Linked DNA regions of Lonchura striata. The protein of the gene in region 2 purifies or fractionates together with the protein of the main gene of each other region. This does not show direct contact. Links are inferred from orthologs where the notes say so. Each region holds a gene or a part of one and is shown on either strand. Other genes may lie near its edges.

Region 1 (3,907 bases), on a different chromosome or scaffold from region 2:
CCGATTTTCCGGATGTCGATGGTGGGCACGTTGTCATTTTCATCCCGGATGTTCAGCACGACAGTGGCCTTGTCTGTCTTGGGGGGCTGGCCCCGGTCTCGGGCCATGACGGTGAAGCGAAGCTGGTTCACCTCCTCCCGGTCGATGCGGTGCAAGACGCTGAGCCAGCCCGAGGTCTCGTCCAGCCGCAGTAGGCGCCTGACGGACTCAGTGGCCGCCCCGAAGACGTACTCGATCTGCCCATTCACTCCCACGTCCAGGTCGGTGGCTCGCAGCTGCAGGATCGGGGTCCCAGGGCTGCTGTTCTCCGCCAGGTCCGCCTCATAGACGCTCTTCTCGAAGCGGGGGCTGTTGTCGTTCACGTCGGTGATCAGCACCCTCAGGATGGCCTGCGAGGACCGTGCCGGGTCGCCGCCGTCCCGCACGCGGAGGCTGAGCTCGTAGGAGTCCCGCTGCTCCCGGTCCAGCGCCCCCTTGACGATCAGCTGCGGCTGCTTCTCCCCGTCCAGGGTGTCGGCCACCTGCAGCTCGAAGACGCTGCTGCGGGCGGCCGCCTCCGCCTCCTGCCGCCGCTTGCTGCCGCCGGGGAAGGGGGCGCTCTCGGGGGCCGCCGCGGCCGCGCCCCCCCCGCCGCCGCGCCGGCCGCCGTCCCCGCCGGGCTCCTGCAGCAGCTCGTAGCGCTCGATGCCGTTGCGGCCGAAGTCCCTGTCGGTGGCGGTGGGGAGCAGGTAGAGCGTCCCCACGGGCCGGTTCTCCTCCACGGTGAGCGTGAGGACGGGGGAAGGAAAGGTGGGGGTGTTGTCGTTGATGTCCAGGATGATGACCCGGCCCTCGAAGAGGTCCACCCAGCTCTGCGAGGGGCCGATGACCGACACCTCAAAGTCCAAGAAGCACTCGTTCTCGTCGAAGATCATCTGGCACTGCGGCAGCTTTTCGCGGTCGATGCGCCGCTCTGTGGTGCTCAGCTCCCCGGTCATGTTATCGATCTTGAGGTAGTCGGAGCCCGACTCCAGGCTGAATGTCACCTCTCCGGAGCCCGTCACGATCCCCAGGTCGGAAGCCACGTTGCCGATGCGGATGTCGGCGGGTCCCTCCTCGGCCAGCCGGTACTTCAGGAGCTGCTTAGCCGCTGCGAGGCTGACCCAGAGCGGAGGAGGCAGGAGGAACAAGAAGCAGCAGCAGCAGCAATGCACAAAGCGAAGGAGGGTCCGCATCTTCCTCATCTTCCTCGTACCGAAACCCCCCTCCCTCCTCTCACTCCCACCTGCCCCCCAATAAACTCCCCTGACAAGCCAACAGTGCGGCTGACAGTCCAGGTGATCAATTATAAAATCCTTCTATTTCTGGAAACTTATTGTCTCATGACTGGTGCAATTGGTGGTCAAAACCCTGCTGCTGGCTCCTCTGCTGCTATCCCTGCCTTCCAGTTGCGATATACTTACAGTTCACGGGACAGCAGATTTTGCTTTTTAAAGATTCATCTCAGTAGATAGGATGGGATTTTCCTCCTCCTCCCCCTTCTCCTCCTCCTCCTCTCTGATTTTACTGTATTCACTTTGCAAGGTTTGCAATAAAAGCAGAAGCAGTACTGTACGATTCGAAGCCCCCCAGGTCGTTGTCTTCAACACTAGAGTTAACTATAATTCACACACTCTCTCTCTTTTCTCTCTCTCTCTCTCCCCCTCTCAGCCGTTTACGACCAAGGCATTAGCTTTATTTTTCCCCCTCTCTGCACACACAGGGGAAAATATTGTGATTCGCTTTATTCAAAGGGCTTGGGTCCGGGAAAACTCCAAATCCTCTTAGCAATGGGCAGCTCTTATAAAAAAAAAAAAAAAACACCACCACCAACAACAAAAAAAAAAACCAAACAAAAAAAAACCCAGAAAGTAAAAAAAAAAAAAAAAATCCCAATAATGTCGGCAGCTGCACAGCTGATAGGAGAGAACCCCGGCTATTACAGTGCAGTCCAAAGAATATCCCCTTTGGTTGGCAAAAAAGCACCCAAATCCATCTTCAGAGATCGCCTAAAATGTTCAGCTCTTTCTCCGGAGCGGATTTTTTTTAACAACTCTGCGCAAGGTCATTAGTCACAAAGCAACGATACAGAAACTGCAGAAGCCGTTTGCCCGGAATTTGCAAGGCTGGAGATAAGAACATAGACACACAACAGTCCCAAGTTTGTTTTTGCATCCGCAGTTTGTGTGTGTGCCTTACCTGCATTTGCACTGCATGTGTTAAAGCAATCTGGATCTGCAGCACTGAGAGCGATTCACAAATGAGATTGCAGTCTCCCTCTCTCTCTCTCTCTCTCTCTCTCCTCTTCCTTCCCGTCCCAATGCAGGTAACCAGATCTGAACTTGATCCTTTCAGTTCAAAGGTTAGCAACAAAACTATGTGTCCAAAGGCGATTATTGGTCTCTCGTAATTATACCCGGAGCGGAACAAGATGTAACTGGATCCCCCATGTGAATTAACACAGATTCTGAATTACATCCATATAAAGCGGAATGGCAAAGGGGAGGGGAAAAAAGCCGCGACGCGATTAAAAAAAATACAGAGTTCTATTTGCAAATAAAATTGTATCAGTCAGTTGTTTCCTTTGATCTGCACTGCCACAGTGGGTGAAATCTGCAATTGTGTATTCCCTCCTGTGTCTTTCAGAGAAGTGTGGATCAGGCGCTTTCACGGCAGAGCGGCTTGTGCTTTAAAATGTTGAATGGCAATTGAGAAGCTTCTCACTCGTAAGGAAAAAAAAAAGAAAAAAAGAAGAAGAAGAAAAAAAAAAAAAAAAAAAAAAGAAGAAGCGGTAAACCGGCAAGTTTGCCCAAAGTGGAGGGAGCTGCTGAAGCCTCTCTCGGTAGCTCTTCCCTGACGCTGCAGCAGCAGAGCCGCCTGCGCTACATACACACAGAAAGAGAGGGAGAGAGAGAAAGAGGGAGAGCAGAGAGAGAGAGAGAGAGAGAGAGAGAGAGGGAGGGCGGGAGGGAGGGAGGGAGGAGGAGGAGGGACGACGAGTCAAGCGCTGCACTCCAGAAAGCTCAGTCTTACCCTCTGTCTCTGCTGCTAGTACTGCAAGTGGGATAGCTGCTCATCACAAAACACCAGTCCAGTCCTCAAAACCGATCCTCATTTCACGCCCGAGTGTTGCTTCTGTTGCTTTCTCAAACCCGTGATCTATAGTGATTTTCTCCTCTCCCTCCCCACGTCCGCTATAGACTGTGAATCGAGCAACGATTTTTAAAGCAAATGTTTGTTCGTCTTTCTTTTCTTCTATTGTGCATTTTGCGGAATCAAGCTGGTAAGGAAACTCGTTTTGCAGATTCCCACCTTCCCCTGTTGTGTCGGTGCTTTTGTGAAATAGCTGCAGTCACTGTAACTGCATAAAACTCCAGGGAGGAAGGGGGACTGCCTTACATCTCAGACTTTCGTCCTGTTTCCCAATGCTGTTTCAGCCTCTCAGTCTTTGTGATTGTGTTCTTCCTATTACCATGTTTTGAATGTGTTTTCAGCATGTTTGTGGGTATCCTAGGAGAAAAATAAAAAATAAATTAAAAAAAAAAAAACAACAACAAACAAAACCAGCCTCGGAAATGATCAGGAAGGGAGCGAGAGGGTTAGTAGAATAAACACATGTAAGAAGTAACAGACTTATTTCCGAACAGAGACTTGCTGCTTCGATGATTGCTAAAATGTAGCGTCACCTACCTGGGTAAGTGGGAAATAAACTTTAATGCTAAAGCTCTTCGGCTCAACTTTGCTTATTCTGACATCTCTAGTTCGCGTCTCCTTTTGACTTTGAGCCATTTAATCGCGTATGGCTTTTGTGTGCTACCGCCCTACCCTTGGTGATGCCTGGCTCCTTACCTGTCCTTTCTGCTCGGAGCCCGGAGGGAAAAGAGGGAGG
Region 2 (3,907 bases):
CTGTAGTAATTCCATGTAACATTTGGGTTTACGAGCAGAAAATCTGAGAGTTTCTGTTCAGCCACAGCAAGACAGTAGCAGAGGCGAGATTGTTTAGAGACAAAAGGTGAAAGAATCCAGTTTCTATTAGCAGCTTCACTGAACTTAACACTTCACTTCACAAGCAACCTCATTTTCCTATCCCCGTGACTATCCCAGCATCTGCTGACCCACGGCTTTTCTTAAAGAAGTTCCAGAAGCTGAATCCCCTCACTGCCCTTGGCAAGTTCATGCATATGTACGAGGCCTTAAACCATGAACTTGACTGTATAAACCCCAATCAGATAGTACAAAATGGAACATATGAAAAGCTGGGTTTGTTTTCAGAATCGTGAACACCTGGAACAAAACTGTCTGTCCCTCTGGATTTTCTTCTGCCAGAGGAATACATTAAGTTATTGATAAATTGGCCTGTGTCTAAATGCCTCCCTAAACTACACCTCACCTACAGACAAGAGCACCCCTATAATTGTAGAGATACCCCTAAAATTAAATCTACTCATGCCAACAGCACAATTTAGATCATGGAAGTTTGGTTTGCAACAGATTTCCAGTGATCTGAACCCCACTAACTGAAGGAAGTCCCAGTTTACCTCCACATTAGATTCCAATTTATCCAAGTCTCTGGGGTCACAGAGGCAGAACAGATCATTCATGTCAGATACTAAAAGTGATATAAACCAGCTACAGACAGCCGAGTAGTGAGTGCCTTCGGCCATGTAGTAATAGACCCCCACAAGCGAGGCTAGAGGAAGAAATTTAGCTTAAAAAATAGTAACAGCACATCTTGCCTCCTCAGCTGCTACTTCATGATGAATAATTATGTCAGTGGGCCACGGAAGCCTGAACAAATCCAACTAACAGAGATTTCAGGCACTAGACAGGGGAGAGCCCAAACCTTACCTTTCAGTACTCCCAAGATTAACTACTTATTTAGAATCCCAGCTCACCAGAAAGTCAGACATTTTCACCCTCTATCTGTACCAGAGCATCTGGCAGTAAGCACGTGCCACGTACAAATGACAACAGCAGGACACTGATCACCAGGGCAAGCCACGAGGGAAAAATGTTTACAGTGCTCTTCAGTCCCCAGATTCCATGACTTGGGTCAGCTGTGTGCTCACAGAGTGCAAATTAACTGGAGATATTTTTATTTTGTCCATTTGACACAAATAAAGTCTTGCACTGGCAGTTTTCCAGCTTGCAGAGATACAGGGCATTTGGGAAAAACAAATCACTGGGGACACCAACAGATTTGTTTTGAGACTCCAGCCACCAACTCTAAACAAGAGCCTATGCAAGCCAAAGCCTACAGAAAACAAATCTTTGTTTAAGTCAGACTCTCCAAGCACAGAACTCCTGTGAAAGCCTTCCACAGCGGGCCAGATGGGGGACTTCAGGAACTGCCTCCAAGTCCTTGCACAGCAATTGTCAGCCTGCCTAGAAATTAAGATTCCTTTCACACACACACACCCAATTATTGCCAGGTCTCCTCTCTGCCCTCTGTATGTCGCTTGCCTGGCTAATTAAATCATGGTTTTGAGTTCACTCCTTCCAGGGCTTACCCTGCTCCCACAGGACACGATCCCCGGTTGCTCCAGTCTGGGGAGCCCCTCACCATAAGGGTGAAGCCTTTTCTTCCCCTAACCACATACACACAAAGCAGCACAGAGACCACCTTTGACTCGTCTATTCTCACCACGACCCCAGTCCTACAAAACCCACAGATCCCCGGGATCACCGATCCCCACCCCAGTCCCACAGCTCTCCATCCTCTCCTGAGCTCCATATCCTTCATCCTCGCTCAAGACCCTTTCTATCCTTCTCTGCACGCCCAAATCTGCGTCCCTTGCAGAGTCCCACAGACACCCCCCGTCTCCTGGACCCCAGAGCAAACCCCTGGCTCTGCTGACACCCACCATCCCCACCCCAGTGCCTCAGCCCCACACCCTCCCGAGCCGCAAGTCCTTCACCCCCATTCGCAGCCACTCCCACAGAACCCACACAAATCCCTGGATTCACCCATTCCCATCCCAGACCCACAGACCCCCCATCCTCTCCGGTCCTTCATCCCGCAGCCTCTCCAGCACCCGAGATCTGCTTCCCTCCCAACACTCCCACGGACACCCCAATTCACTCCTGGGCCCCAGAGCCTGCTAACGCTCATCATTCCCAGCCCAGTCCCACAGCTCCCCATCCCTTTCCAGCCCGCAAACCTCCACCCCGGCCCAGCGGACTCCCCTCGGGCCCTCCCGAGCGGCCGGGCTCCCCCCACCGCAGCCCCGCGCCGCCCCGGGCGCACTCACCGATCAGCTGCCGCACCTCCTCCTCGCTCAGGTAGATGCTGAGGCTGGGCCCGGCGCCGCTGGGGGGCCAGTCCGGGGCGTGCGGGCCGGGCCCGGGCTGGCCCTGGACGCCGGCGGGCAGCACCAGCAGCAGCAGCAGCAGCAGCGGCGGCGGCAGCAGGCGGAGGAGATGGCGGCGCGGGCCCCGCACCCGCCGGCCCCGCCGCGGCCCCGCGCCCGCCTCCCGGGGTCGGCCCCGCCGCCCCCCGCCGGGCTGCCGGCGCCGCGGCACCATCGCTCCGCGGGGACGGAGGGACGGACGCAGGGCCGGGGGGAAGCGGGCGGGACCCCCCGCCCCGCCGGACCCTCGCACGGCGCGGCCGCCCCAGGCCCCGCCCCGCGCACGCGCCGCTCCCGCCGCCGCGGGCGGCCCCTCGGCGCGGGCGGCAGGGGCGGGATCCCCTCACGGCCATTCCCGCCTCTTCCCGCATCCCGCCCGGCGGCGGGAGGAAGAGGAGGAGGGACGGCATCCCCGCTCCCGGCGGGTGCCGCTCTCAGAGTGACTGCATCGGAGAAGACTTCGAAGATCCTTGGGTCCAACCTGCGACCGGTCCCCACCTTGTCAGCCAGCCCAGAGCACTGAGTGCCCCGTCCAGGCCTTCCGTGGACACCTCCAGCTATGGAGACTCCAAACCTCCTTGGGCAGCCGCTTTTAATGCCTGGCCGCCCTCTCCATGATGTCCAACCTGAACCTGCCCTGGCCCAGCCTGAGGCCATTCCTTCATCCTGTCCCTGTTCCTTGGGAGCAGAGCCTGACCCCCCTGGCTGAGGGGGTCCCTGACACCTGTCAGGAGTTGTGCACAGCCACAAGGTTCCCTGAGCCTCCTTTTCTCCAGGCTGAGCCCCTTTCCAGCTCCCTCAGCCGCTCCTGGTGCTCCAGCCCCTTCCCCATCTCCGTTTCATCCTCTGCACATGCTCCAACCCCTCAATATCCTCCTTGTGAGGACCAGAACGGGACACAACACTTGAAGGATCTCACAGTGCCCAGTCACCGCCCTGGTCCTGCTGGACCCATTGGCCTCTTGCCCACATGGGCACACCTGGGCTCATGTCCAGCCACGATTGACCTGCATCTCCAAAGCCTTGGCCAGGTCCTTTATGGCATCTGACCCCACCGTGGAGGTCACCCACTGAATCACCTCATGCTCACCCGAGACCCTGCACATCCCCCCGCTTCTGCTAAGCTGTGGTTGCCTCCATCTCCAAACCCTTCCAGACAGACATCCATCCAGGATGGGCCAGGGGGTCATGGCCAAAACTGGAAGTGCTCTGCCAAAATATCCCCCAGAAATGATAATCCCAAAGTGACAGACTGTGGGACACCTGGTGCCCACCAAAGCTGCTCCATCAGCTGGAGAGGGGAGAGAAAATATAATGCTCCTAAATTGAGATTAAATACAGGAAGAGACCACTCAGCAATTATTGTCATGGGCAAAACAAGAGGAAAGTTTGAGGAAATGTATGGAATTTATAACCAGATTGGTAGAATAATGAGAAGTCTGTTTTGGAGCCAGCCGGCATCA

What was found.
Region 1: the proteins of RYK (region 2) and PCDH7 purify together in Homo sapiens (affinity purification with mass spectrometry; 3 studies listed by BioGRID and IntAct, with this or other methods). This does not show direct contact. The link is inferred for Lonchura striata from reciprocal best matches to the Homo sapiens genes RYK and PCDH7.

Annotation. Positions count from the first base shown.
Region 1 is NC_134606.1:20,194,335-20,198,241, reverse strand, and holds the start of PCDH7 (protocadherin-7), read right to left. Parts: upstream 2,928-3,907; 5' UTR 1,224-2,927; coding exon 1-1,223.
Region 2 is NC_134612.1:5,531,189-5,535,095, forward strand, and holds the start of RYK (tyrosine-protein kinase RYK), read right to left. Parts: upstream 2,620-3,907; coding exon 2,346-2,619; intron 1-2,345. UniProt on the Homo sapiens protein: May be a coreceptor along with FZD8 of Wnt proteins, such as WNT1, WNT3, WNT3A and WNT5A. Involved in neuron differentiation, axon guidance, corpus callosum establishment and neurite outgrowth.